Linked DNA regions of Struthio camelus. The protein of the gene in region 4 interacts with the protein of the main gene of each other region in a biochemical or structural test. Links are inferred from orthologs where the notes say so. Each region holds a gene or a part of one and is shown on either strand. Other genes may lie near its edges.

The links.
Region 1: the proteins of RARA (region 4) and SP1 form a complex in vitro, tested with the Homo sapiens proteins (2 studies listed by BioGRID). The link is inferred for Struthio camelus from reciprocal best matches to the Homo sapiens genes RARA and SP1.
Region 2: the proteins of RARA (region 4) and NR0B2 form a complex in vitro, tested with the Homo sapiens proteins (2 studies listed by BioGRID). The link is inferred for Struthio camelus from reciprocal best matches to the Homo sapiens genes RARA and NR0B2.
Region 3: the proteins of RARA (region 4) and TADA3 form a complex in vitro, tested with the Homo sapiens proteins (2 studies listed by BioGRID). The link is inferred for Struthio camelus from reciprocal best matches to the Homo sapiens genes RARA and TADA3.

What each region holds. Positions count from the first base shown.
Region 1 is NC_090969.1:3,370,657-3,377,713, forward strand, and holds the start of SP1 (transcription factor Sp1), read right to left. Parts: upstream 3,001-7,057; 5' UTR 2,843-3,000; coding exon 2,836-2,842; intron 2,363-2,835; exon of another isoform or gene 2,311-2,362; intron 1,348-2,310; coding exon 1,253-1,347; intron 558-1,252; coding exon 1-557. UniProt on the Homo sapiens protein: Transcription factor that can activate or repress transcription in response to physiological and pathological stimuli.
Region 2 is NC_090964.1:6,806,015-6,812,914, reverse strand, and holds the start of NR0B2 (nuclear receptor subfamily 0 group B member 2), read right to left. Parts: upstream 3,017-6,900; 5' UTR 1,506-3,016; coding exon 962-1,505; intron 462-961; coding exon 181-461; 3' UTR 1-180. Other genes in the region: nuclear migration protein nudC, read left to right, coding at 3,287-3,382, 4,893-4,970. UniProt on the Homo sapiens protein: Transcriptional regulator that acts as a negative regulator of receptor-dependent signaling pathways. Specifically inhibits transactivation of the nuclear receptor with which it interacts.
Region 3 is NC_090955.1:9,933,957-9,941,482, forward strand, and holds the start of TADA3 (transcriptional adapter 3), read right to left. Parts: upstream 3,012-7,526; 5' UTR 2,929-3,011; coding exon 2,722-2,928; intron 2,545-2,721; coding exon 2,294-2,544; intron 2,115-2,293; coding exon 2,009-2,114; intron 606-2,008; coding exon 464-605; intron 162-463; coding exon 58-161; intron 1-57. Other genes in the region: ARPC4 (actin-related protein 2/3 complex subunit 4), read left to right, coding at 3,674-3,676, 4,148-4,266, 4,946-5,057, 5,140-5,235, 5,379-5,549, 6,106-6,111; tubulin monoglycylase TTLL3, read left to right, coding at 7,325-7,408, 7,484-7,526. UniProt on the Homo sapiens protein: Functions as a component of the PCAF complex. The PCAF complex is capable of efficiently acetylating histones in a nucleosomal context. The PCAF complex could be considered as the human version of the yeast SAGA complex.
Region 4 is NC_090966.1:6,907,288-6,914,871, reverse strand, and holds the start of RARA (retinoic acid receptor alpha), read right to left. Parts: upstream 3,003-7,584; 5' UTR 2,948-3,002; coding exon 2,770-2,947; intron 1-2,769. UniProt on the Homo sapiens protein: Receptor for retinoic acid. Retinoic acid receptors bind as heterodimers to their target response elements in response to their ligands, all-trans or 9-cis retinoic acid, and regulate gene expression in various biological processes.

The DNA.
Region 1 (7,057 bases), on a different chromosome or scaffold from region 4:
CCCACACCCTGGATGGGGACAGCCTGCTGCAGCAGGTTTGGCATGGCGATGAGGTTACCCGTCCCGGCTCGGCTAGTAATGATCTGCTGGTTCGTGCCGGGGATGATCTGCAGCTGGCCAGAGGCATCCTGCTGCACATTGACTTGGGCAGGGGTGGTGGCAAACTGGAGCTGCTGCCCATCAATGGTCTGGAACTGGGGAATGACCTGGTACTGGATATTTGGGATAACACCTGGCAGGCCCGTCAGCACCTGCTGGTTCTGCAGATTGGAGGCGGCCGTGACCACGTATTGCCCCGCGCTCACGGGCCGGCTTTTTGATGAGTCGCTGCCATTGCTGCCGTTGGCGCCCTGCTCCTTGGAAGGAGTCGGTGTGCTGGAGCCAGTGGATATGATCTGCCAACCGTTGGCGGATTGGGCAATCTGAGCAGCAGCGGCCGTGAGGTCCAGCTCGCCGCTCCCGCCTTGCTGGCCCTGGGAACTGTTGGAGTTCTCGTTGGGAGACTCGATCCTGCTGCAGGTGGCTGCCAGCAGAGCCAGCGGGGAAGGCTGGGACTCCTGGGAAGGAGAGGAGGAGTTAAGGACACAGGAGGCGGCCCAGTGGGCAGGCCGAAAAAAAAAGAGAAGCCAGGGAGGAGCGTACTTGGAAAAGATAAACACTCCTTCCTGAGAAAACCCACCCACAGCCGGAAAAATACAACTGCCAGACACAGGGCTGTCAGGCCGGGACAAACTGAACCCACAGTGAAAAACCCTCCGGTGGGGAGGAAAGGGGAGGGAGTTTGCATGTAAAACCCAAAGAGACACATTTCTTCCACTCCAAAGCGAGTGAATCTCCTTGTAGCACTACAGGAGAACAACTCCTACAGCTGTTTCTGGGCACCCAGATCAGGGAAAGGGCTGGTCAGGGCCGTGGCAGCTACTTGGAACCAGGGTGTACAGCCTATTTTCAAGAGCACCATGCACAACTCGGGGAGGAGGGGAAACATGCTCTGGGCTGGCACTCCCTGCTGAACACGTTCCAACAGGGTGTTTGGCAGCGCGACGCTCCCCCGTCACTCACTCGCCCTCTCTTCCTTTCCCTGGGAAGAGGAGCCTGTGCAGCGCTTGGCTGGGCCAAACAAACACCTCAGCGCAGCTCCCCGCCCCGGCCCTGGACTTTGCTACGAGGTCGGCAAGTCCCCAGGGTGAGCGGAGCCAGGAAGCTGCCAGGTTCGGGCTGTTCCTTGCACCGCCTCTTTCCCTGCACTCACCTGGCCCTCCCCACCACCTCCGCTGCTATTACTGCTGGCATCTCCTTCGCCCTTCTCGGGCTTCACTGCAGCCATTTCCTCGGGACTCTCTTGGTCTGTGTGGGCCGGAAACAACAGTCGGAGTTAAAATACATTTCTGGGCAGAGGGATTGGGGGGGGGGGGAAGAGGAACACAAGGACTTGAGAGGAGTTATGGGGCTGGAAAAGCAGGGGATTGGGGCAGGGAGAGGTGAAGGCACTCTGGTAGGCACTTTTGGGAGGACCGAGTGCTGCTCCGGCACCAGCGAGAAGGGGCTGGGAAGCAGAGGGAGCTGCCAAAGGGGAGTTGGCACGGAGACAGGCGGAGGAGGGACAGGCCGCGCTCCAGGCCTCAGCTCCTCCCTGCCTGCTCGGGACACTCCCTGGCCCCTCGGTTCTCCTCGGGCCTCCCCTTTCCCTTTCTCCGCTAGCCTGGGAGCACACCTCCCGCTCAGGCCCTCCTTGGCTGGCCCCGGCACCCCGCGGATCCACCCCCTGAGGCTTTCTCCTTGCCCTGCCCAGGGGTTTCCCCTGGCAGATCCAGCCCACTGGCTTCCCCAGGGATCCCCGTCTGGAGAGGCCCCATCCAGGCTAGGATTCCCCATCTGCGCTCCCCGTGATCCCACTGCCCGGTGTCTCTGTTCCCCCTCAAATCCGTATCCTCCTGGATCCCCCCCCAGCCCCTCACAATCCTCCACGAAACCTTCCTTCCCTGGCAAAACCCCTGACCCCCAAAGAACTGGGGCCTGTGCCCCCTACTCCTGCCCCTCGAGCACCCCTTGCCAGGCCCCCTGCAGACCTCCCTCCAGGTCCCCCCAGGTCATTCGTAGGGCCTTCCTCCCCTCTCCGACAGCTCCTTCCCCCAAAACGCTCTAATTCGGCTTCTCCCCTCGCCCCGTGGGCCTTCTCCCCACGGCTCTCCCCCACCCCATGGATCCCCCCCTAGCCCACGGTCCCCTCCCCACAGCTCTCCCTCACCCCTCGGCGGGCTCCTTCCCCCCACCCCACATGCATCCGCCTGCCTAAGGCTCCCCCCTCACCCGGGGATACCCCTTCATCGGTGTGTTCCCCTCTCCCTGCTCCACCCCCGGCATCTCCCCGCATAAACACCCCCTCCCCGGTGCTTCCCCCCCCCCCCCCGCCCGGGCCCACGCCTCCAACCGGGGCGCGCCCAGGCCCGGCTCCCCCCCACCCCGTGACCCTCTCCTCACACCGGGCCCTCCCCGCGCCTTCCCCCCCCCCCCCCACCGCGCCGGCCGCGGCGGCGGCGGCCCCCCCCTCCCGCGGCGGCGGGGCGGAGGGAGGGCACGGCTGAACGGCCGCCGGCCCCCGCCCGGCCTCCCTCGCCGCGGGTCCCTCCCCCGAGGCCTTCCCCCCTCCCCCGGGTCCCTCCCCCGGCAGGTCCCCCCGGCGCGGCGCGGCGGGGCCCGGCCCGGCGCGGCCCGGCCCGGCGCGGGGCGGGGCCGCCGCTGGCCCCTCCGAGCGGGCGGGCGTGTGTGTGTGTGTGGTGTGTCCGCGCGCCCCTCGCCCCCCCCCCCCCGCCGGCGCGGTGGGCCCGTCCTTACCGCTCATGGTGGCCGGGGGGGGGGGCGAGCCCAAGCGGCGGCGGGGCGGGGGGGAGGAGGGGCGGGCGCGCCCGGCTCGCTGACGAGGCGGCCTAACCCCGCCGGTGACCGCCAAGGGGCTGCCGAGGGAGGGAGCCGCGCGCCGCGGCCCCGGCCCCGCGGCCCGCCCCCCGCCGCGGGGCCCGCCAATGGGGCGCCGCCGCGGGCGGGCGAGTGGCGGGCGGCTCGGCCAATGGGGCGCGAGGGCGGGCCGGCGGCGGGGGGAGGGGGGGCCGCGCCGCACCGCCCCCGCGACCCCGCCCCGTGGGGGAAGGGGGGCGCCGCGGGCGGCGGCCAATGGGGGCGCGGGAGGGCGCTGGCGGCCGGGGGAGGGGAAGGGGGGGGCTGGCGTGAGGGCCGGCCAATCAGCGCCGGCGCGGGCTCCCAGGGAGACCCCGTATGGGAGCGGCCAAGGCGGCGTGAACCGCGGCGGGATGGGCGCGTGCCACGGCCAATGGGCGGCGGTCCCGCGCGGGAGGCGGGGCGGAGGCATGACTGGCGTGAGGACCCGCCAACTGGCCTCCGGGCAGCCGCGCTGCCCGCGCGGCTGGAGAAGGCGGGCTCGGAAATTGACGGCTGACTGTCCAATCCGAGGCCGGATGGGTCGGCAGGAACGGGGCTGCTCGCCAATGAGAACGGCGATCCGTCTCAAACTGACCAATGGGCGCCGGGTGGGGGCGGGGCGAACGGCCGGGCTGCGCCCTTGGAGGGACGGCTTGGCGGCGCTGGGAATGTGGCGGAAAAGGCGCCATTTTGGCTCTGGCTCCGCCCCGACCCCAGCCGCCGCCTTGTCCCGAGCGGGGAGCGCAGGGGCCCGAGCTGCCGCCTCCGGGGCGGCCAGGCTGGCCGGGGCCGTGTCGCGACAGTGCCACCGTTCCCTCTAGTCCCATCCTCCTCCCGTCACAACGCCGCACGCGAACCCTCCTCGCAGCGTGTCGGGGGAGGGGGGGGCTGTCATGGCGGCAGGCCCTCGACTCCCTGTTGCGACGTGGCCTGTCACGGCAGCGCCTCAGCCGGGTGCCGTCCCCACAGCCCCGTTGTGACAGGCCGTCACTGTCGCGGTGCCTCATCCTCTCCCTTCCACGGGTGCCAGCTGCCCTGTGGCAGCACCGTGTTAGGGGGCCAAAAGGTGCTTTGAGGGGTGGTGGTGGGGGGGTGTCATTTTTTCCACAAAAGCCCCCAGATTGTGCCAGGTTTATAAAAAGGGAGAGAGAGCCACGGGGCGAGCGGTGACAGGGCCCAGCTCGGGGTCCCGCAAGGAGTAACTGCCCCGAAACGAGGCGGTTTTCCTCCCGGCCGGGTCCTCGAAGGGCCGGGACGTTCCTGGCCCTCGCGCAGAGGCCGCGGGGAAGCGGCGCGCGGAGTCGCCGTCCGGCCTCCGCCTCCCGCCGCCCGGCCCCTCGCATCCCGCCTGGCTCGGCCCCCCGCTTCCCTTTGATGCGCCCCGCCGGCGAGGCGGGACGCCGGGGCTGGCGGCGGCGTGAGCGGGGCGTCCTGCCGCCATCCCGGCGGGACGGAGCGCCGCTTCCCCGCTCCCCGCGCGCTGCCCGTGTTGGTTTTGGAGGCTCCGCTCCGATCGAGGAGTCAGAGGTCGCAGTTTCGGGCAAATCCTTTGCGCGGTGCCCCTGCTGTCCTTCCAAATGCTGTGTTAAGTGACCTGGTTTTTTTTTTTGGTTTTGTTTTGTTTTGGTTTTTTTTGCATCGTTCCCCTCTTTCAGCAGCTGGAAAATTCTGCCGTCGCTAACCATGACCTCACCCCGCTTCCAGCGGAACTGTTTTATTTTTGCTTTCCCCCTCCCGGCACTCGGCCCGCGGCAGCCTGCCCCCCCCGCCAGCAGATTGCAAGCCCCTGAGTAATTAAAATAACACCGAGGGGTTTTTTTTGTTTTTTTCGAGAAGAAACGGACGGAGCGCAGCGAAACAAAACAAACCCATGCCCTCCCTGGGCTCGGCGTCGGTGGAACATCTTCCGGCCCTAATCCCGGCTCCGGCATCTCTCATGTAACAAATCCGCCGGCCTTTTCCCCCAAAACCCTGGCAGCGGAGAGCAATACGGAGCTGGGCGGAAGTCGGACCCGCGGGCAGCCGAGGACAGGAGCATTGGCCCGGCTGTGGCGGCGTTCGGTTGCTTTGGGAAGGCCGAGCAGGGTTGGAAACGCTAAACGGCTTCGTCTTCCCTGTAAAAAAGCCCCAGCTGAAAGCGAAAGAGCAGCCGAAATCGCGGGAGCGTTGGCAGCCTGCTTTTTCCAACCCGCTTCCCCTCCCTTTGCCTCCCAGCCGGCGCGCCGGCCCGCATGGCTGCCGACCGACCCCAGCCCTCGCCCGGCCAGCTCGGGAGACGCCGGGACGTTTCGGAGAGGTTTTCGGAGGGGTGCTAGCGCGTCCCGGGGGGCGTCTGATTCCCGGGAGCCGGGCTGCCGCCGTGAGCCCGTTAACTCCACATCTCCGCGGAAAGGGAGGATGTGGTCGGAGCAGAGCGGCCGGGATGGCCCAGCTCGCCCGTGCCTCGGTTTCCCCCCGCGAGCCGGGCGAAGCCGTGGCTCCCTACGCTGGCCAAGGGTCTTTCAAACCCCGTCAGCCCTTTTTGTCCCCCTCGCCTCGGGCCGATTCGGCCGCAAAGCCCCCAGCGTGGGACCTGCCCCCCTTTCCCCCCCCCCCTGCTCGGGGGGGCTGTCCCTGCGGTGCGCACCTCCGGAGCCGGGCGGTCGCTTTGGTGTCGTCGTCCCCCCCCCCCCAATCCCTTGCCGGCAGGGAAGAGGCCGGAGTTTCACCGCAAATCCCGCTGCGGCCTTGGAAGTCGCCGCCGCAGCTGCCGCGGGGCCGGGGAGGAGGCCGGGCCGCCCCCCCCCTCAACTCCCCCCCCCCCCCGCCAGCGCCGAGCAAACACGGCTTTTCCTTTCATCCGGGCCCGCGTCCCGCGGACTGCGGCGTCAGCAGCTCGTGGGCCAGCAGCTGGGACCGGCGGGGGCCCGCGGCCGCCCCCCCGTCCCCCCCCAGCCCCTGCAGCGGTGGCACCGGGACAGGCCGGGTTGGGGGCTGCGCCGAGCTGCTTGGTTGGGGGGGGGGGAGACACGTGGGGACGCTGAGCGGCGGACGCCGGAGAGCTTAGCGGGGCCCGGCCCTGTGCCTCAGTTTCCCCATCGGCACGGCACTGGCTGGTGGGTACCGGGGAGGTGACATGGCTCCTTTTTCCCCAGCCTTTCCGGAGCAGAATACCACCCCCCCCCGGCTGGAATCGCCATCCATCCTCGTTTCTCAGCCCCCCCCCTCCAAAATCAGGTTCCAAATCCCTGCTTGCTCCCGTCGCTTGCTCCCCCCGGGTGGGCCGGGAGAGGGCCCGGCCCCGCGGCCGACAGAGCTTTGGGGCTTTATCTCCTCCCCGCGCGGCCCGGCTGGGGGCCGCCGGCCCCCGGAGCTGAGTCCTGGCCAGCTCGGCACGCGCCGCTCTTTGTGCTGGACGTCGGGGCGAAGGCCCTCCCCCTTAGCACCCCTTTGCTGCCCATTAAGCCCCCCCCATCACGCCTCGTTAGGAACCCCTTCCCCATTAGCAGCCCAGGACCCCCATTCCCTTGCGCTCCCCCTCTTGCCCTCACTGTTCCCCATTCCCCCATTGTTCCCCATTCCCCCATTGTTCCCCACCAGCCCCACTGTTCCCCATTCCACCCATTCCCCCCGTGTTCCCCAATCCCCTATTCTTCCCCATTCCCCCCATTATCCCTAGTGTTCCCTATTACCTCCATTCCCCCTTTGCTCCCCATTCCCCCCATTGTTCCCCATTCCCCCCAGTGTTCCCCATTCCCCCATTGTCCCCCATTCCCAACATTCCCTTCATTGTTCCCCATTGGCCCCACTGTTCCCCGTTCCCCCATTGCTTCCTGTTCCTCCATTGTTCCCCATTACCCCATTCTTCCTAGTATTCCCCATTACTCTCATTACCCCTACTGTTCCCCATTCCCCCAGTGTTCTCCCAGTGTTCCCCATTCCCCCCAGTGTTCCCCCATTTCCCCCCAGTGTTCCCCCAGTGTTTCCCCTTTTCCCCCCAGTGTTCCCCATTCCCCCCAGTGTTCCCACATTCCCCCCAGTGTTCTCCCAGTGTTCCCTGTTCCCCCAGTGTTCCCCCATTTCCCCCTAGTGTTCCCCATTCCCCTGTTCCCCCGTTGTTCCCCATTCCCCCAGTGTTCTC
Region 2 (6,900 bases), on a different chromosome or scaffold from region 4:
GAAAATTACAGCCTCTGGAGCTGTTCCCCAGGCTTAACGAAACACACACAAAGCCAGTTCCCTGCAAAGTACAGAGCACCTGCCTCACTAAACCTTGCTCCCAGATTCACTTTGCCGCCCTCTGACACTTGACTCGGGGAGCAGGCGACGTCTGTGGGGTTGACAGCCGAGCGCAGTCCCTCAGAGCGCCATGCGCGACGAAGGAGCCAGCTGCCTGCTGGTTATTTCATACAGCATTTCTGTGATGAGCTCGACAATATCTGCATTGCCGATGACTGGCCTGAAGAAGAGGTCTGTGATGAGTGCAGGAGGGATAGATTTCAAGGTGGAGGCAATCAGCAAGATGCGGGCAAAGCGACCCTGGTCCTCGGGGTGCAGGGGCCGCAGGACTTCTTGCAGCGCTCTCTGGGCTTCCCGCTGGAGGCTCTCAATGTACAGGGAGGCCCTCAGCCCCGGGACATCTATGGAGAGAAAGGAGGAAAAAGCCAGTGAAGAAGGAGGCTGCACAGCAGCTCCAGTTTCTACTATTCCCATCCCTTCAACTACCTCTGAAGGGACTCCGAGTGCCACATTAATTAAATGGACGCAGCACTACTAAGACGTAGCCACTTTGGGGCTGCTGAGTAGCAGCTTTGCTTTGAGGGAGCAAAAATAGTTAACAGGGTAAACCCATGCTTGGCAAAATAAGTCCTGGGGTCCTTACTGTCTGCAGGCTAGGCAAGGTCCCTGGATTTTAGCACTACATTCAACATCTGTCCTCCCCACTTCCCAACAGTAAACGGCATTATGTAATACTAGGTATCCATGATAAGATAACCAGCCCTCTTCTCCTCTCCCGTGCACAGCTCCTCCTGCCCGTGCTCTGAATCAGTCCAAGCCACGAAATGTGTTTCTAGATGCTCATGCTTGCGGGGCCTTCTCTCCCCACCAGCAGATAGGGCTGTGAGGCTTCGACACTCACCAGGATTAAAGAGAATGGCGCCCTTCAGGTAGGCATACTCCTTTGGGCTCAGATCCAGTCTCCAAAAGGTGTTCAGGCAGCACTGCAGCCGCTGCACCGCGGCCAGCGTGGGTTGCATCCGCTCGGGCTCCTGCTGTTTGCTTTGGCCATCGAGAAGGATCTTCTTGAGCATGCTGGGGGCTGGGGTCTCCATCACCTCAAATGTCACCATCTCCTGGACCAGCCCCAGGAGGAAGAGGGGGACCCAGCAGCTGTCCAGCAGCAAGAGCTGGTCCTCTCGGGGCAGCAGTTGGAAGGAAGGCAGGTTTTTCATGAAGCTGACGGTTTTCACCAGCACATTGGAGGCCGCCTGGCAGGTGACGTGGGGCGTGCGGAGGCAGACGGTCCGGCGCTGGTGGCACAGGCAGCGCTGGTGGGCTGGACTGCAGCTGACCCGGCTGTGGTTCAAGTTCTGGCTGAGGAGGGTGTAGAGGATGGCGGTGCGGTTGTCCTCGCTGTGGCACTGGCACCTCTTGCAGTCCACGTCCATGCTGCTGGTTGTCATAGCCGAGCTGGGTGCCTGGATCCTCAGCAAAATTCAGCTCCTGCTGCAGCAGAGGAGGGAGATCCGTAAAGCAGAAGGGCACTGTCACAACCCCCTGCGGCAATCAAAGCTCCCCGGGCACAGTCTCTCCTCCCAGCTCTGCCAGCCCATAGCTGTTTTAACCAGCTCTTCTTATAAGGCTCAGTCACAAGTGAAACACCCCTTCATAGCCTTGACCGCTCTGTGATTAAGCGGTCCTCATTAAAAAAAAAAAAAACAGCCATCCCTGGACTGATTGGCTGGAACAAACGAGTTCTCCACATGGCGTCAATGGCCGTTTTCTCAATGAAGTGCCAGCGGGGCCAGCAGCGCGGGGACAGGACAGCAGGTTGGGCGGCCTTATCACGATTACCCAAACAGTTTAAACAAAGTCATTAACCCAGCCTGTACCATGGCACCAAGGCCCCGCCGTGTAATCAGGCAGCACTATACGGCAGGTGTCACTGCCAAGAAGTTCACACACACACACACACACACGGCACTCGTCTGGAGCGAGGACCCTGGTGCAAACGGCCTGCATGCTCCGGCCTTGGGAAGAGCAACCTGGAAGTCGTTTTATCAGCAGATGTTTGCCCAACCTTGTTGACAAGGGACTCATGTTGTCACAGTTAAGGACGAGAAACCCAGTGAACTAAAAAGATTATAGTATTCAATCTGAGGCAGGGCCCAAAGGATCTTGTGTCACAAAGGAAATACGAGGCAGGGCAGGGTCAGGTTCTTACATTTTTGCCTTGAATTGCCAGATGGTTTTATCACTTGATGAACAGAAGTTGGTCTAGAAAAGTCTGGCCGCACCTGGTTACTTATTTCAAGGGGTCCAGCAACAAAGTGAGGAATTTCTATAGCAGGAAGGAGCCAGTGAGTCAGAAGACCTCACCCTCCTTAGGGTTAAGGCACCTCATCCCGAAGAAAGGCTGGCTACAAGACCGGTGCTGTAAATGGAAGGGAAATCCTACGTAGGGGGGCGTGGGAAGAGTTGCAGGAAGACCTAAAAGAGCCAAGAGGCAGGCAGGGGCCGTGCACGGAAGAGAGCAGCGAACACAAGAGAAGGTGGATCCTTCGGTCCCTGCAGATAAGCAGATCCCCGAGGGCGACCGGGCCGGCTTCTTTGCAGCTCAACGGCAGCGCTCCACAAGGCTGCTTTCCGTCACCTCCCTTCACACCGGCTGAATTTTAAGCCTCCGCGCCCCGGTCAAGAAAGCGCTGGGACGTTTCCTCGCAGCCCTGGCGGAACCAGCGCCGGGACAGAGCCGAGCGGCAGCGCGGCTGCCTGCCCGCAGCAGTCACGCCAAAACCAGGCGGGTTCAGACCCAAGGCTGGAGCCCCCTCAGGGCGAGGCCGCGGGGGGGGGGGTGGATCCCAGCAGCTGGCCCCCCCCCCGGCCGTGACCTCTGCCCTTTGACCTCGGGGAGGTAGCCCCCCCTCCCGTGACGTGCCCTCTGCCCTTTGACCCCTACCCCCCCCCCGGGGACACGCGGCCTCGCCGAGCTTTCTGGAAAGGCCCAGACCGGCCGTCGCTATAGCAACCAAACCCCGCGCCCCGCCGGTCCCGCCTCCCCGCGGCACATTGGACGCCGCAAAGGCCAATCCGCGAAGAGAGCGGGGCGGCCGGGCGCTCAGGATTGGCGGGCGGCGCGGGCCCTCGCGCACCGCCTTCCGCTCGCGTCGCTTCCGCTTCCGGTCGCCGGCGTGAGGGGCTGAGGGGGCCGTTGGCGGCGGCGGGCCCTACCACCACCATCACCATGGGGCTGAGCGCGGAGGAGGCGGCGGAGCAGGAGGACCGCTTCGACGGCATGCTCCTGGCCATGGCCCAGCAGCACCAGGGCGGCGTGCGCGAGGTAGCACCGCCGGGCCTGGACCCGAGCCCGGGCCGTGGCGGGAGCTTTTACGTGTTCCCGGGGCGGGGGGCGGAGTGAGTGGGGGAGGGGCGGGCCCCGAGGCAGGGGGCGGAGGCAGCCGCGGCCCGGCCTCCCTGGGACGAGGGTCTCCGGGAGCCCCGGGCCCTCCCCGGTGGGCACGTGTGTCCCAGCGCCCCGTCGTTGGGGGTTCCTGCTCTCGGCGCCCCCGGGGGGACCTGGAGCCCAGGAGGCGCGGAGGAAGGGCTAATTAGCGCCGTGCTGATGAGGGCCTGGGGGGCCCCGGCCATGCCCCTCGGCTTCCTGCCGCCTCCCGCGGCCGTCTCGTCGCCCCTGAGCAGCTGGGGCGTTTTATGGGTGGGTCGTTCGCACTCGTTCAAGTTAACACCGTTGGCTTGCTAGAGGCGTTAGAGGCGTGTGGAAAGGCAGATCCCTCTCCGTATTGCAGCGAAACTAGACACTGCATGGGGAGGATCAAGTCGAGCTGTCACACTCTCAGCATGACCGTCTGAGAGCTGCCTTGTGAGACCTGATGTGTTGGCTGCAGTCATAAAATAGGCAGAAGTATGCCTAAGCATGAATACAGTTTCCCTTCCCTCACTGTAGCTGCATTACTGATACTCTTTGCACTCACATTTTCTGATGTGACTCTTGCTGGAGGCTGCTCAGAGGGTCTAGGTGATGACATGCAGCTAGATTACTACAGTTCTGGGGAACATCCCCCACCCACAGGTGGTCTGGGGAAATGATGTTAATAACAGCTCTTCCTACTGGACTGAAGCTTCTGATTGAAATACTGACAAAGACATTATTCCTGGAAAAGAAGAAAGAGAAACCATACTCATTGAGATTATTTCTTGCAGGTGTATTCTAGTATGTCAGTTCACAACTTCTACTTCATCAGGGACACCTGACAGGCAGTTCTGTCTTGTCGCATGTCTTGCAGGGCGCAGACCACCATCCGTTGCTTCTAGGCTGTTAGTGGGTAGCAAACGTGTTAGTCTTTTGTAAAAGTAAACAAGTCACAGAGCTGGGGAAGGTGGGTTTGCAAGCTCTGAGGGCTTAGACAACCAAAGAAGTGAATTTATAGTATACACGTGTATCTATATACATGTATGTGTATATTTAATTAAAAAAGAAGTTCCAGCGTCAGATGGGTCTAAGTAACAGCTTGGGATTTCAAAGTTGATGCATCTCCAAGGGAAGATGGCCTGAGAATGAACTGCTTCCCCTTTCTTCATGTAAAACACAAAAATGCATCTTCTGAAAATTGGGAATCCGTAAGCTGGATCTCCACAAAAGTCCTCAGTTTTTTTGCTGGGAAACGGTAATGGGTTTGACTCTAATATGATCCTAACACAGACATAGGCAGGAAGTAAAAAGAAGAACAAAGACTACTGAGGAGACAGGGGATGACTGGGAGTGATCTGGTCTCATTGCTCTTTTTTTTTTCCTCTTTACCCCAACCCCTACCCTCTGTTTCCTCAAACAGCTTGTGAACACATTCTTTAGTTTCCTGAGGCGGAAAACTGATTTCTTCACTGGTGGCGAAGATGGAGTAGCAGAAAAGGTATTTAAAAAAAAAAAAAAAAGTCATTCTAACTTACATACTCTCTGTGCCATGCTAAGACTTCCCTTCCTGAATAACTCAAAGCATTCCTCCCAATACACCTGGGAACCAGCAGTCTGTGATGTTGGTGAAATACACCTCTGAAACAAGGTAATAATAAGCTACCCCTATCTGAGGTGAGGCATGATGGCTTGTTCAAATGATACCAATGGTGCAAGTTTTTGCCACGCTCTGGCCAAAGGCCTGTTTGAAAAGCAAATCTGCCAGACGCTCTGACTTAACGGTGACAGACACTGCAGTGTTGATAACCCCAGGTTACCTTGTTTGTTCATCTCAGAAAAATTACAAAGTCCACATCCCTGCACATGCTGCTGCCCCTTTGTCTCTGTGCTGCAGTATTTGTACGGACTGAACACGCCAGAGAGCAAGCCCGAGGATCGAGGCTACCTTGTTGGCCTGAGAGAACTGAATGTCTTTGATATCCAGCAGGTATTCCTGACCCAGCACAAGAATTGTAAAACTAACTAGTTTCTTTGTAGTGAAATAAGGACCAGAGCATTGAAACATCAGTTAGCGAGACTTTCTGAAGGTTTCTTGCTTGTGCTTACCAGTATATCAACAGTTACCTTTTCTTTCAGAATGCTGACTACTTTGTGACTCTGTTGTCTAGAGGCTGTGTGTTTACTATATGCCCCTCACCTGCCCTCCTGGCTTTAAAACTGTAGGTGATAACATCAGGTCTTACAAGGAAGCTGATATTAACTGGGGGGTCAGATACTTGTAGCTCATATAGTCAGTTTGGATCGTGGTGTAGGATTGAGGAAAAATGCTGGAATACATGCCTTCTGAAAGAACTTTCTGGATTACTGGAACTCTCCAGACAGCAAAGCAGGAACTGCTGCCATGTTGAATGTTAGCAAAGATGATTGCCAGTGCTGCGTATAAGATACTCTGTCTAGTCTGTAAAATGGAAGAACTAAAGCAGCGAAGGGATGGGAAGGTGGATGGTTTCAAAGTAAGAATAGGATGACGCCTACTGCTGTTTTCCTTGGACTAGTGAGCAAATCTTCCAGATTTCCTGGGGACTCTGTACTCCTAGGGAATGAAAACCTAAGCAGCATTATGTTTTAGTAGAATTTCGGAGATTAGCACTGACAGATGCTGTTGGAGGTCCAGGCTACTGTTCTTGCAAATCCGTGTCTTATTGTGCTATCTGTAGAAGAAAAGTGTTAGCGTCCTTGGCTGGTGTCTGTTAAAATGCTCTGTGGTCCTCTGAAAAGGTGATGAATACAAAAGAGTCTCTTAACTTGCCTCTGACACCGTAATAACCGCAACAAAAATTGAAGAATTTATTCTCCCCCATCCTGCTCATCCTTTGATATCAAAGATGTGAAAAGAGGAGAGGGTGGTGGGAAAGGCAGTATGTTTTATGTGGTGCCATTTCAGAAGCCTTCCTGGTGTAGAATGAGGGAGTGATGTAACATGTTGAGGGAAATGCAGTGCGCGCACACTGTTACACTTGGGCGATTTGAATAGCTTTGCTCACTGTGGATTGTCCTGCAGTTGGGAACAGAGGCTGGGAGATGCATGTCTTGATTTCTGTATCCTAGGAGACGCTGGACTCAAGTTGTGTAAATAAATCCTGCTTTCCTTTTTAAAAGCAAAGCCGTAAATGATTGGTGGTTGGTTCCAAAACTACATGAGGCCTGGCTGTTCTGAGCTACTTTGGAGAAGTGCTAATTCCTCACTGAAGTTCCTGGGATATACGTAAGCCAGTGCCTGAAACCTCTATCTGAAAGTTTGCTCCGCTTTAATTTCTGTTCTCAGATTTTATCTATATTGTCTCGTGGAGCAGAACTTAGATCTCATACGTGCGGCTTTGCACAGTTCTGGTGGCATTATTGACCACGGGGTAATTGCTCTGGCTTCG
Region 3 (7,526 bases), on a different chromosome or scaffold from region 4:
ACCGAGCTGCAGTGACACTGCCCGACAGAGCCACAACGCAATCCCGAGCCCTCTCACCTCCACAAGGGCCTGCAGGAGACGCTGCGTCAAGGGCCCGAAGGGGCACCCGTCCTCAGGCTGCTCGTGCTGGGCCTCCGACTTCTTCAGCAGGGCATCAACATCTGGGAGGAAGCAGGGAAAACAGTGAGCAGCAGGGGAGAGGCCAACGCCTCAGCGGGACTCCGGTGCAAGGTGAACTGTTCTCTCCTCTGCAGGGACAGCTTTACTCCATTCTGTCTCTGCCACCTGAGCCTCCCTGCAGCTGCGCTCGAGTTGTGCCCTCCCCAGGGCAGCCACCGGAAAGGGAGGAACCCCCAGGGCAGCAGGGCCAGCGTCCCAGGGGCTTGGCTGTGCTCCGTGTAGGTGCCTTGCAGCCCCCTCCAGGCCGTTCACAGAGGGCAGACGCAGGCAGGGATGGAGGCACCTTTAGTGTCCAGCTCAGTCAGCGGTCCCAGGATGCCTTTCTTCTTGTCAGCAGCAGCTGCTGCCCGGGCTCCGTCCTTCTGCTCCTCCAGCAGGTCCTCCTGGGCCCAGCGCTGGGAGTAATGCTTCCCCAGAGGCGGGATCTGCAACCACAGGACAAGCGAGAGCAGCGGTCAGCACAGCGTCCCAGGGCCCTCGTCCGCGCCAGAGCTCAGGCACGAGGAGACGGGCCCTGCCGTGCCACGGAGCAGGCCCTACATCCAAGGACCCAGCCCCGCACACTTCACCTGGCTCGCAGCCAGGCCAGTACCCGGCTGCCCTGGGGCTCTACAACCCTATCCCCAGGGCTGCTCTCCCGCTTTCCCAAGGCCTGGGCCCTCCCCTCCTCTCCCACAGCTCCTGCGCAGAGCAGATGGCAGAATTCGGCACCTCCAGACGCGGCCCTGGAGGCGGCGCAGCTGCCCGTGAGCTCCAGGGCCGAGCTCCTCGGCAGCCGCCCTGCCCCTTTGGCTGGCCCGGCGCCGTTCGGCTTGGCGGTGCCACCGGCCGGCGCAGACCCCAGCGAGTCTTTAAGCTACACAAAGCGGCAACCACAAGCTGCACTCTCACAGGAAGAGCAACCACAACGTTATGAGTGAAATCTAAAACCGTGCTACGGGAAGAGCGTTTTCCTGATCGTGACTCAGCCATCCCCACTGTACAAGAGGCACGGGCCCGTCACACACGCAGCGCTGGCAGGACACGACCAGATCAGGGAGCTGGTACCGCGAGCACCAGCCCTGGTCACAGCGTCTTTGATCAGGCAGGGAGCCCTCACCCAGGGCTCTTCTGTAGCCGAGACCAGAGATGTCATCTCCACGTGTGGAAACTGTGGCTATCCAACAGCACCACACGTGTAACGCAGCAGAGGTGAGAGCAGCCAAGTCTCTCACCCCATCCTGGCTGCTACTTCTCATCTCCACAACTGCCCCCGTTCCCCAGTTCTTCACCCGCTTACAAGCGGGTGACAACAAAAACAACCGTCTGCTGCCGGTCCTCTTCCCTAGAGCGTGTAAAATCCTTCTGCTCGGCTCCCTAGAACAAACAGAGCCCTGCAGCTGGCACAAGGGAAAGGGGGCTTGGGGTCTCTCAGACAAGGGTCCAGAGAGGTCCCTTGTGCTCAAAGTTGGATGTAACAACAGGAACTCTGCATGTAAGAACACCACGAGTCTCACAGGCCGGGACCACGCTGCAGCAGGAACAGACAGACTACAGCTGGGCACTGCCTCCCAAGGACAGGAAAGCGCACAGCAACAACCTCAGCACTGCCCCAGAACGGGGGCAGCAAGTTGCTACCTCGTGGCCGCAGCCAAGACACTCTCTCACGGGAGCCAGAAGAGAAAAGTGTGCAGATAAATTCCTGCTTTTGCAGGAAAAAACTAGTATCATCCCCACAGGGCGAGCGTTCACTGTAAGGCACAAGACTGCATTGACAGGAGACTGGCCCAGGATTAGAAAACAGACAGGAAGAGAGGCTACAAGACTGGGTGGGCTTTAGATCTTTCACCTTGTAATGCTCAGCCTCGTCCTCAGGCGGCTTGAGCAGCTCTTCCAGGACTCTGACTTCCTCGTTGGTGAGGTCGGCGCAGTACGGCTCCACCGAGGCCCAGAACCTGCGAGGACGGAGCAAACGGACAGTAAGGGGGGGCTGCAGAGGCACAGCGTGGGCCGCGGCAAAGGCCGACTCACACCCCCCCTTCCCTCCAGGGCACCTCTTCCCTCGGGTCCAAGCCAGCCCTCTCGCCAGGAGCTGCAAGGAAGGAAACGGATGATCCAAATGTTCCCCATGCACCTGTTTGGAGCATCATTTTTGGGAATCCGGGGAACATCAATGGGATCATCTGGGAACTCGTATTCCTGGATCTTGGGCTGCAGGTTCTTGGATTTGGGCCGACCAGGGCCAGGCCCTGTCCCGTGACCCCCTTTGCCCTCCAGCTTCTGCTTCTTGGGCTTCCCATGTTTGACAGAAGTGCCCACATCATGCTCCTTGCTCAGCTTCAGGAACCGCCGGTCACCCTTCTTGTCTTGCCAGTCTGTCAGGATCTGGAAGAGAGCAACACCATGTCATGCCACACAGCGCAGCCTGGGGACGGGCCCGCTGCCCACACCAACGGCAGCCCAACAGGCCGCCGCAGCCCCTCGGCGTGAACGAACAGGCGAGGGAGCGGGCGGCGGGCCCCAGCGGCCCTCGCCGCGCGGGGCAGGCGGCGGCGCCCGCACCTGCGTCTCGGCCTCCAGGACGCGGAGGCGGCGGCTGGCAGAGGAGAGCAGCGTCTCCAGCTCCAGCTGCAGCGTGTCCAGCTCCTCGATGCCGATGCCGTCGTCCTCGGAGCGGGCCAGCACGGCCGTGTAGCGCGGGCACACCTTCACGTGGTCCACCGACTTGAAGTCGTGGAACTGCAGCGGGCAGTCCTTCAGCTCGCTCATGGCGGCGGGCACCGGGGGGAGCACACGGGTGTGTTCGGGGGAACGGGGCGGGGGGCAGAAGGATCGGGGCACTGAGGGGAAGCGGGGGGGGGGTGGAGAGAACCGGGGTGCTGAGGGGAACCGGCGGAGGGGGGGGGTTGGGACCGGGGCGCTGAGGGGGCGGGGCCGGGACGCAGGGAAGCCCCGGGGGGGGGGTCGGGGAGGTCCCGGGGGCGCCGGGGCCGCCCGGAAGGCGCCGGCGGGGCAGCGCGTGCCGCGGCCGGGCGGGGGGGCGGCGGCGCCGCGGGGCGGGGGCGGCCGGGAGGGCCGCGGGGGGCCGGGCCTAGGCCGCTCGTCCCTTCCGGCCTCCGTAGGCCAACGCCGCGCCCGCCTTGCCCCGCCCCACACTTCCCATTGGCTGAGCCGCGCCCAGCACCCGTCGCCTATTGGCCCGGCCCACGCTCTTTTTGCCTTCCCTAATATGGATGCAGTGACGGGACTATACCAACGCGGCGGGCGGGCGGGGGGGGATGAGCGGGCCGCCGCCATCGCGCACCGCCATCGCGAGCCGCCGTGCCCGCCGCCGTCACTTTCCTCTGCGCGGTGAGGCGAGGCCAGCTCGGTGCGGCCCGCGCCCTTCGGCGCGCGGCGGGAGCCTCCCCCGACCCCCCCTCCCGCTGCAGTGGGAGCTCCCGGCCATCCCGGAAGAGAGGAGCCGCCGGGGACAGCTACTTCCGCCTGCCGGGACCGGACCGGAGCCGCCACCATGGTAGGGGGGGGGGTGGCGGGGGCTGTGTGGCTGGGCCCGGGGGCGGATGGAGGGACCTGGCGGGGGGGTTGGCGGGGCCTAGGCCGGCAGCGGACCGGGGGGCGTTGATGGGGGTGGACTGGGGGCGGGCGGGGGGGCCGGGGGTGAGGGGTCCTGAGGGGGGCGGCTGGGGCGAGCTGGGGGTTTAGGGGGGCGGCAGGCCCGAGTCGGGGGTGGGGGGGTCCTGAGGGGGGCGGCTGGGGCGAGCTGGGGGTTTGGGGGGGGGGCGGAAGGCCCCAGCCTGGGGTGGGGTGGGGGGGCTGAGGAGGGCAGCTGGGGCGGGCTGGGGTTTTAGGCGGGTGGGGGGGGCCTGAGAAGGATGACTGGGGGTTTGGGGGGGCGGCAGTCCCGAGCTGGGGGTGGGGGGGCCCGAGCCGGGGTGGGGGGCAGTGGGCCGCACCGTTTGCCAGCTCTGACGCCGTGTCCCCGCAGACCGCCACGCTGCGCCCGTACCTGAACGCGGTGCGCGCCACGCTGCAGGCCGCCCTGTGCCTGGAGAACTTCTCCTCGCAGGTCGTGGAGCGCCACAACAAGCCCGAGGTGGAAGTCAGGTACGGCCAGGGGGCGGCTGTGCCTGCGGGGCCCCCGCTCCGCTCGGGCCCTCCGCCATCCTTTCGTTGGAGGCAGCTGCCCCCGGGCTGCTGCTCTGCCTCTGGCTGGTTTCCGGGGCCAGCGTGTCCCTGTGGAGCTGTTGTGCTGCGACGCTGCCAGCTCAGCTTTAGCAGCACGGGGAAAACGGTCTCTGCTCTGGTTTTAGTGCACTGAGTCCAGCACTGTTCCTGAGCCTAGCTGAGTCCTGGTTTTGGACACTGGGAACTGAGTCCTGGTTTTGGACACTGGGAACTGAGTCCTGGTTTTGGACACTGGGATGGGTTAATTCTTGTTGGGGTTTTTACACCAAAAAACAATCCCATCTAGTCACTGCTGCCTTTGCTTAGCATGTCTGGGCCTGACGCGAGGGGACTGTGCAGGCTGGAGAGGCCTCTGCACTCAGCAGCTGCCACCAGGCAGCGATGGGGCTGGTCAGCCCGGGAGCTGAGAAACTGCAAAGAGGAGGGAGGATCTGCCTTCATGATGCGTGTGCCTGGGAGGTGGAAAGCATCGTGTTGGAGCACAAAACAAACTCCCAAGTGTCCGTATTGGCTGTGATCCCTGCAGCTCCCTGCTTGCATGCCCTGTGTGGCCAGCAAGTGCTCGTTAATCAGTGCTGAGCTTCTCTTGCATCCACAGAAGCAGCAAAGAGCTGCTGTTGCAGCCAGTGATCATCAGCAGGAACGAGAAGGAAAAGGTCCTTATAGAGGGATCCATTAACTCTGTGCGAGTCAGCATTGCAGTGAAACAGGTGAGCTGGTGGGAGGGGAGGGAACAGGCTGGTGGCTTGTGTGTTGCTTGGAGGAAGCCTCACTTCTGCTTTCTCTCTGCAGGCTGATGAGATCGAGAAGATCTTGTGCCATAAATTCATGCGTTTTATGATGATGAGGGCTGAGAACTTCTTCATCCTGCGCAGGAAGCCTGTGGAGGTGAGGTGACCCGTGGAGCTGCAGAGCAGCATCCTGCTGTGCTTTTGGCACTGCTGGGGAGAGGGGGGTCTCCGGAGCCGAAAGAGGACGTGTGCTCACGGGGTTGGTGCGCTAACTGTTTCTGCCACTTCTCTCTTCTCCAGGGCTACGACATCAGCTTTTTGATCACAAACTTCCACACAGAGCAGATGTACAAGCACAAGCTCGTGGACTTTGTGATCCATTTCATGGAGGAGATCGACAAGGAGATCAGTGAGATGAAGCTGTCTGTCAACGCCAGGGCTCGCATCGTGGCAGAGGAGTTCCTCAAGAACGTGAGGCTCTAAAGCGGGAGGCGATGGTTCCCGTGTCTCTGGACGAGGGTGCAGCTCCGGCCTGCCGTGACCCTCGCGCGCGGAAGCCTGGCCCCGGGCTGTCCCCGTCTGTGGCGCAGGTGGCGGCAGCCCCCTGGGAAGGTGCCCTTTGGGGCAGGGGAATCACGTGGGGAGCGGGTGGGGGTACCTGGAAGAGCTACTGCCCGCTTTGCTCCCTCCTCAGTGAGAGAGGAGCGCAGCGTGACGCGCCAGCTTTGCAAGGCTGCCAGCGGGCTGGCGCTTTGCTAGGGCGCGAGCGGCAGCTGCGGGACGCGGACTGCTGAGACGAGCTGCGCGGTCCCCAGGGCGAGGGGAGGCAGGGAAGTGAGCGCAGAGCTCCACAATCCAAGCAGTGCCGAACGGCAGTTATCGTTCGTCTCCGTCCCTGCTGATCAGCCAGACGTGGCTTGAGGCCGCCTCGGCGCAGCGCGGATGGCACGCTGGGCGCGGGAGGGGAGGGCGAGCGCGCGAGGAGCCGGCAGTCAGCGGCCCTGTGCCTTCCCTTCTTGCCTTGCAGTTCTGAACCGTGGTGCTGAGCTCCCTGGCTTCTCCGGCGTCCCCGCGGGGCCGGCCGCAGCCCGGCCTCGCCGCCTGCGGAAGAGAGGAGAAGCCGCCAGATGCTACGGAGCCGTCCGCGGGGACGGGCGAGAGGACCGGGTGTCCTGAAGCGAACCGTGCTCGTGTCAGACCGTGCCGACTCCCTGCTCTTCGTTCCTCCTTTGGTTTTTTCCCTCCCCTCCCTTCCCCCTTTGTTTTTCTTTTTTTTAACAATTCCTCGTTTGCTGTAACTCGGCTGCTCGCTTCCCTCCTGCCTGGCGGTGGGGGACACCGTTTCCCCCCCCCTCCCCGCGCCGGTTCTTGAGCGGGGGGGCGGGGCCTGGCGGCGCAGGGGGCGGGGCCTGGCGGCGCTGCCATGGCAACGCCAAACAGCGGGGGCGGCCCCGACGGTGCGGGCCGGGCCGGGGCACAGCGGGGTCCGGGGGGGGCGGTATTTAGGGGGGCTGTGGGGGACGATGGGGGATGAAGGGGGGTCGGGGGGGGGCATGAGGAGGTCTGGGGGGGCTGTGTTGGTGCGGAGGGCTGGGGGGTAGGATGGTGTCGGTGGTGGGGGCACGAGAGGGGCTGGGGGGGCACGAGGGGGGCTGCAGGGGCCGCACGCGTTGCGCTGCAAGCTCCGGAGCGCGGGGCGGAGGAGCCGTGCGGGCGCCTGGGCCTGGGGCCTCTCCAGGCTGCCGGCACCGTCCTGCCACGGCTGCGCCAGCCCCGGGGCGGCAGCGAGCACCCTGTCTTCTCCCCCCGGGGCGTCCGACGGAGGCAGCGCCGCTAGCGGCTTCTCCGTGCCCCCAGGCCGCCGCGGGACGCGCCATGGCTCGGGGGCCGGCAGGCCGCCGGCGGCCGCGGGGCGAGCAGCCCTCGGGGTGAGGGGCGGCGGGCTGCGCCTGCAGGGCTGCAGCCCCACTGCGGGCACGCCGCCGGCCCCCTCGGAGCCCCCCGGTCCCGGCGGGCGAGGAGGGCAGCTCCAGGGTCGCGCCGCTGGGCCGAGGTGCCGCCATGCGGATGGAGCGGGCGGCGGAGAAAGGGGCTCTGCCTCCCCCCTTCCCGGAGGGGCTGCCCGCCCCCACGGCCGCCCGGCGGCGGCGGCAGGACGGTAGGAGCCTCTCCCTCCCCGGCGGCCCGGCCCGGCGGCGAGGTGGGGGCTGCCGAGCCGGGGCTCTTCTCCCCCAGGGCGCGCGGCGATGGAGGGTGGCGGCGGCGGCCGCCCCTCGCTCAACCCGGAGCGCCTCAAGCGGGTCCGGCTGCGCGTGGAGAGGGCCATCGAGGTGAGGGCTGCCGCCGGCCCCCCGGTCCCTGCGGCGCGGGGCAGCGCGCTCAGCTCCACCGCCGTCCCTCACCAGCAAAAGAAGATCTTCATGCTGCAAGGCCCCTACCCCGTGATCC
Region 4 (7,584 bases):
CACACGTGCACACGCGCACACGCAGCCGGCGCGGCACCCGAGGCACCAAGCACACACACGTGCACGCACGCACACGCAGCCGGCGCGGCACCCGAGGCACCGAGCACACGCACGTGCACGCGCGCACACGCAGCCGGCGTTGCACCCGAGGCACCGAGCACACGCACGTGCACGCGCGCACACGCAGCCGGCGTTGCACCCGAGGCACCGAGCACACCCACATGCACGTGCGCACATGCAGCCGGCGCGGCACCAAATGCACCGAGCACACGCACGTGCACGTGCGCACACGCAGCCGGCGCGTCACCAAATGCACCGAGCACACGCACGTGCACGCGCGCACACGCAGCCGGCGCGGCACCCGAGGCACCGAGCACACGCACGTGCACGCGCGCACACGCAGCCAGTGCTGTACTGAACACACTGAGCACGCTCACACACGTGCACACACATGCACACCCAGCCAGTGCCGCACCGAATGCGCCGAGCACGCTCGCACACGTGCACACGCCTGAACGCACAGCCGGCGCTGCCCCGGAGGCAGGGCACGCGCACAGGCGCGTGGAGACACCGGCAGCGCCGGCTGCGCGCGCATGGACGCGGGCACCCGCGCAGCCAGCTCTGCACACAACGCGGGGTTCGCGCGCTCACAAGCGGCGCTGGGCAGGCTCGCGCGCCCCGCACCGGCTGCGACGCGCCCCGCCACGCATGCGAGCGCCAACGCAGCCCGCAGGCACGCGGGACCGCCAGCCCGGAGGGGGCACCCGCCCCCACCGCCGCAGCCGGTGCAGCACGCCTGGGCCCCTTCGTGCCCGGCGCGGGGCTGCAGCCGGGCGCCCGTCCCCACCCCGCGCCAGGGAACCGCAGCGCTCGGGCCGGCGGGGGCTCCCCGGCCCGCGGTGCCCAGGACGGGCCGGGCTCCGGCCCCCCGGTGCCCCCCAGCAGGAGCGCGGGGCAGGCGGAGGGGGGCGCGCGGGGCCCGCGGGGAGCGAGACGGCCGCCCCGGCTTCCCAGGGGGCCGGATACGGCGCCGGCAGCCCAAACGCCTTGGAACGTTCCCGGCGGCTCCGGATGCGCCGCCGGCCCGGCCCGGCCCGGCCGGGGCGCCGCCGCCGCGCAGCTGCAGCACATCTGGCGAGGGCGGGCCGGCAGCCGCGCTGGGACGGGAGGTGCGCGGCGCGGCGAGGAGGGGGCCGCCCGCGCGGGGCTCCTCCGCGCTCTCCCAGCCCCGGCCCCGGGGTCGGCGGCCCTTCCCCGGACGCCTGGGCTCCCTCCCAGCTCGGACGCTGACCCCGCAGCACTTCCCTTCCGCGGGGACGTCGCTCCCGGGCCAGCGCCGCACCGAGGGGGACGCCGGCCCCTGCCCGGCGTGCCGGGGCCGAGCGCGAGGGCTCTGCGCGGCCCCCCAGATCCTGCAGCTCCCCCGGGACCCTGCGGACTCCCGGAACAGCATCCCGCGGGACCCCGGCCCATCCGGACACGCGGCATCCCGGGACTCTGCATTTCCCCAGACGCGGCATCCCCCAGACACGGCCTTCCCCGAAATCCCGCTGCACCCCACAGGTGACACCCCCCGCCCTGCCCGCAGTAAGGCCAAAGGGAAACTGAGGCACGAGGCACCGTGCCAGCAGGGAGCCGAGGCGTCCGGGCGCTGGGGCACCTCCAGGCCTGCCCGACACCCCGGCGATGCCCCCCACACCGTCCCCAGTGCCGGGGAGCGGGGGGGGGGGGGTGAGCGCACCCCCCCCGTTCCCACAATGCCGTGCAACGGGAATGGCCCCCGAGCAAGCGCGGGGGAGGGGCCCCACCCACCGCCACCCAGTGGCTGAACTGGTCCCACTAGGTCCCAGTGCCGTCGGGGCGGCTCCGGCGGGGGACAGCGCCCCAGGCCGGCCCTGCCCAGGCCTGCACCGGCCCCCCCGGGCAGGGGCCGGGCCCCGCCGCACCCCGACCCACGGGGGCCTCCCCGGCGGCGCGCGCCCCGGGGCGCCCGGGAAGGGGGCTGCCCCCCGCCCCGGCACCCCACGGCACCCTGGGGTGGGGGGGCACAGGCGCGCGGGGCAGTGCCGCCGCCAAGCCCGCTTCCCTCCCCGCCGGCGGCGCTGCCGGCCGGCCGCCCCCTCCGGAGCCAGCGCCGGGGAAACTGAGGCAGGCGGCGGGCCGAGGGCTGCGAGGGGGGATCCAGGCGCGGCCCCCTCCCCGGCTCCAGCCGCTCCCGCGCCGCGGCCGGTCCCCGGCCCCCGTGATGGACGAGCCTGTCAGGGGCAAATTGAATCAGGAGCAGACGCGATGATTGCGGTTATCGCTTCCCCCGCAGGCGGCCGGGGCCGGGGCCGCCGCCGCACCGGGGGGGGGGGGGCGAACAAAGAGCCGGGGCCGCTTCCCGCGCCGTTAGCAGCCGGGGTACAAACACCGCCCTTAACGAACGGGGCCAGGCTGCGGCGATCAACCCCCCCGGTGGCCACCACCGTGCCTCAGTTTCCCCACGGATGGGGGGGGGGGGGAAGGGTCCCGGCGGCTCCCCAGCGCTCGCCCCCGCGCCGGGGCAGGACCGCGGCGGACCCGGGGCCCTTCGTGCCGCGAGGGGTTTGCTTATCCTTTCGGCCCTTTTGTTTCCTGTTATTGCAGCTATTTATAAAGCTCAGGGCGGGCGAAGCGGCGGGGGGGGGGACGCCCCCCGGCCCGGCGGCCCCCGGCGCGGGGCAGGGCGGGGGGGAAGCGGTGGCCGGCCGGGTCCCCGCGGGCGTCCCGGAGCGCGGCGGTACTCACTGGCGGGCGAGGGCGTGCTGTATCCGCTGACGGGCAGCTGGTGCGGGATGCCGGCCAGGGTGCTGGGCGGCGAGAGCCCCCCGATCATGTGGGGGAAGAAGAAGGCGTAGTGGGGCACGGGGTAGCCGTTGAGGTGCCCCCCTGCGGGCGTGGGGCAGGAGCTGCTGTTGCTGGCCATGGCGGGCGGCTCCGGCGCGGCGGCGGCCTCACGTGCGGGGCGCCGCGGCCCGGCAGGGCATGGGGCCGCCGGCCGGCCCGGCGCGCTCACCACGGCCTCACCGCTGCCCGCCGGCGGTCCGCGGCGCGTCCGGGGGCCGAGGAGGCGGCAGCGGCTCCGGCGACGGCTGCGGAGGGAGCAGAGAGAGGCGTTAGCGGCGGCGGCGGGGCTGGGGCGCCCGGCTCCCCCCCCCCACACCCCGACCCCGCTCCCGCCCGCCGCGGCCGTGCCTCAGTTTCCCCAGGCGCCGGGAGGAGGCAGCCGTGCGGGGCCGGCCCCGCGCTGCCCGCCGGGTTAACGACGCCGAGAGCCGGGGCGGCAGGTCTCTAATGCCCGGCTTAGCGGGCCGGGGCGGCGGAGGGGCACCCCCGGGGCAGGGTCCCCGCGCGCCCCCGGCCCCGGGGCGCCGCGAGGGAGCCGCCGCGCTCCGGCGTCCACCGAGGACAGCGGCTTCGCTCCGGCCCAGCTCCCCGAGGACGCGGGGGCAGCGGCTCACGCGCTGCCCGGCCACACGTGCACCGAGCGCGAGGGGGCTCAGCCTCGTGCCTGGCCGCGGCCCCGGGGGCCGGGGCTCACCCAGCCCCTCTCCCCACCGCCCCGCCGGCTCTGCCCAGCCTCGAGCCACCCGGCCCAGCGCAGGGGCCGGCGCTCGCCCCGCGCCGCGCTGCCGGCGGCGGCTCCCGCGCCGGGCACGGACCCCGCGCCAAGCCGGGCCGCCGGCGAGGGCGGGGGGCCGCCGGTGGGAAGGGGGGCACGGGGCTTTCACAATCCCGGGCTGGCTGTTTATTTAAGCGCTGGCGCGAGGCCCGGCGGGGGATGTTTATTTGCCGAGAGCGCTGGCTCCCGGCCCCGCGGAGGCGGAAAAGGATCCAGAGGAACAAGGCTGGGCCGCCCGGCGAGGCGCTGGGGAGGGGCCGGGACGGGCACGGCCCTGCCCGCTCCTCGCCTGCCCCCCGGGGCCGGGCCGGGGTGCTCCCGGCCACCCCGGGCAGGGTGCACCCGCCGGCAGGGCGCCCCGCGCTCCTCCCGGCCCCGGCGGTGCCCGGCGCCCGCGCTCCGGCTGCCCGCCGGCGTGGGTGCCCAGGGCAGGCGATGCCGGGGTCCCGTCCGCAGCCCCGCGTGGGTCACCCTGCCGCGGGGCACGGGACACCCCCTGCCCTGGGGTGCCGCCGCGCCGGGCCTGCGCCGGCCCCTGGGTGCAGCCCCCCCCCGGCGAGCCCAGCCTGGCGCCGCCGGGAGGAGACGGCCTTCGCGCGGGGCCGTGCCCCTGGGCAGCACCCGTGGGTTCCCCGGGGGCGGCGCAGCAGCCACGAGACCCCCCCCCCCCGCCACCCTGCACCCCGGCAGCGCCCGGCGCGGGGCCTGCCCGCGGGCCCCCCCGGAGCCGGGCCGGCCGGGGGGAGCGGAGGGGAGCGAGGCGCGGGAAGAACTGTTTATGTTCGCCGGTGCCAAGTGCTTGCCAGGCACGGCGCCAGGCTCCGGCGGGGCCCAATTACTCAACCCTGCTCACGCCCCCCCAGCGCACCGCGGGCCTGGGAGAGAACAGCGCCAGCGCCGCCTGCCAGGGGCGGCCCGACCGCCGCGAGCCCCCTCACCCAGAGGGGACGGGGGCAGGCGGCTGCAGGACCGTCCCGGCCTCTGCGCGCCGCCGCGGGCGGCCAGGAGGGCTCCCGAGACCCGACGCAGCCCTGCTCCGCGGCCCCAAAGAGGGTCCCCATCCGTGCGCTGGCCGAGGCAGAGCCTGCTTAGCTTCGGGCAGGGGCTGGCCCCCCAGCTCGGCCCCAGCCCGGCCACGCTGCACCCCAAAAGCAGCCGCAGCTCCTTTGCGGCGTGCTCAGACCCTCCCGGTGCCCGGCCGGCCGCGGGGCCGCGGCACGGGGCTGGCCACGAGGTCCTGCGTCGTCTCCTCTCACCGGCACGCCGTGCCAGCGAGGGGGCACAGGCCCTCCGGCTCGCTGCTGCTGCCCACCACCAGAGGCGAGGGAAGAGCCCGGCTGATCCCCCTGGACCACCGCGCTCCGCTCCCCACGCTCAGGGCTCCAGGCAGCAGTCCCGGAGGGACCCCGCTCCAGGCAAGCCCTGGGGGGGCAGCGGGAAGGTGGGGATGGGGCCGCACAGCCGGCGGCGGGGAGCCCCGCGCGGTGAAGAGCCCCCTCGCCCTCCCCAGCCCGGCCGGGCAGGCGCCTTTTCCTCCAGTTCCCCGGCAGGAGCTGGCCGGGAATCGGTACTTCCTGGAATCCAGAGCCTCATTCCAGCCCCGCAGAAAACAAGGCCATGGAGCTCGGGCCAAATCCCAGCCACGAGGAACCTCCCGACCAGGCTGGGGGCGGCCCCAGGGAGCGGACGGACGCACGGACAGACGATTCCCATGCCCAGGGTCTGCCGGCAGCCCCCGCGCAGCGGGGCAGGACACATTGCTGGGGTCCCCCAGCCCCTCGAGCCAAAAAGGCCCAAGACCAGGGCACAAAGCCCACCCCACTGCCCGCGCTCGCGGGGCAGGGTCGCATCCAGCTCCCCCGCGCCCGGCACGGCCAGCGCTGACTGCCGAGCAGGAGGGCTTGCAGCGGGGCAACGCACCGCGATTCGCGTCTCCAGCAGCCATCCCCAGCACCACCTGCCAGCCCTGGGAAGGGACACGCGGCATCCCCATCCTGCCCCATGGGGACCACGGAAATGCAGGGGGGACCGTCCAGGCCAGGAGGGGCTGGCAGGGAGGGTGCAGAGCTGGCCCAGCCTCAGCCAGCACCCCAAAACCCCCAGGCGCGCCGCCCGTCTCATGCCACCCAACCCAGGCGTGCTTCCTGCCGGGGCCGCGCGGCGATGCCAGCACCAGTGCCCCGGATGTGACACGCCAGGGAGCAGGGCCGGGGTGCCACCCGGCGCCGCGGGCACCGCCCTGCCCGGCTAGCACCGCGGGGGCCACCGGGGCCAGGGTAATGGCAAATCCAGGCTGCGCTCTTGGTGCCTATCGGGACAGCGGGCAAACCCAGTGACCGAGCCCTTCCTGTCATGCCTGCGACCGCAGCGCTCCCGGCCGCAGCTTCCCCTCGCCGCTCTCGATTCCCGGGGCCGCCGGGTTTCGGTTCAGCTCTGGCCCCACGCCACCTTGGACCCCAGCCGGGGCTGCCCCGGCCCCGCTCCCCGCGCCGGGCACCCCGCGGCCCCCGGCCTCGCCAGGACGGTCACGGGGGCACCCCGAGCCGCAGCCGGGGCCCGCGCCGCGGTGCTGGGGGACGGGGCACCGGTGCGGCGGCTGCGCCAGCAAGGGGGGCGGGGGGGGGGGGGCTCTGGGCACCCTCGCCGCCTCCCCCACGGGCATGGCAGGAAGCGCCCGCGGATCCGCTATGCGGTCACAGCCTGCGGTTTCCTCACTGCTGTCAGCAAAGCGGCCGGGGCGGCCTCACACGCGAGGCCGACGGCCCCGGCCACCCCGGTGCCTCCCCAGCCGGGCAGCCCCGGGGCCGCCGCGGCTCCGCCAGGAGGGGCGCAGCGAGGTGCCCCCCGGGAAGGGCCGGCGGCGAGACCCCCTCCCTGTATTCCCAGAGCATCCCGGCCTCTGAGTCAGCGTCACGTTTCTCACGTCCCCGGGCAGGCGTGAATCATGCCCCAGCCGAGCGGATGTTGCTGGGCCGGAGCCGGCTGCACACGCTCCAGCACGGGCAGCGCGTGCCGCAGCCAGGGCTGCCCCGGCCCCGCCAGGGCGCAAAGCCACCCCGGCCAGCGCGCTGGGGGGCAGCTCCGGCCCACGCAGGAGTCTCCAGCACCCCAAAGCCCCAGCACCCCATGGGCCAGCGGGGACCCCCATCCCCGGCAGCGCCCCCCAGCCAGACCCGCTTGGGCAGCCTCCGCTTCCCCTTGCATAGACAAACCCGGGGCCGGACCGGCACACGACCGGGGAGGGCCCCGGTGCTGGCTGCGAGCCCTGCGCTGCCCCATGGGGACGACGTCCTGCTCCACATCGTCCCCGAGCACGGCGGTCCCTTGCCCACCCCACACCAAGCGGCGTGCCACCCTGCTTCCCCATCCCCGCCGGGGCGCAGACAGGCGCTCCGGGGAGCTGCCGCCGGCCCCCACGGCACGGGGCCCCCGGCACCCCCCATGTGCCGCTGCCGGGGCTGGAGCTGCAAAATGAAATTCCACCTGTCGCAGCTCAGCCTGCCCGGCTCCGGTTACGGCCAGGAACGCGCCGCTCCGGTTACACCTCCTACACCCGCCACCAGACGCGCCATTCTTCTCTGGCAACAGGTGCCCCGGCCCCCGCCGCGGCCCCCGGGACAGGCACGGCCCCAGCTGAGCCGCAGTGGCCCCCGGCCAGCGCCACAGGCACCGCTCCAGCCTGGCGCGACCGGCACGGCTCTGGCCTGGGTGCTGGGCTCCCAGCTCTCTCCGGAGCCCTGGAAGGGGGCAGCTGGAGCAGGGTTGCACCCCAAAAGGCTCCAGCAACTCTTGGAAGTCAACCCTATCTGCCAGCCCCTTGCACTGCAAGCCTGGGAGCCCCCACCTCCGTACCCCACCGTGGGCACAGGGCTCCCAGCCTCCGCAGCACAACGGAGGGAGCACCCATCCCAGCCACCTGACCCCAATCCAACAGTGCAGTC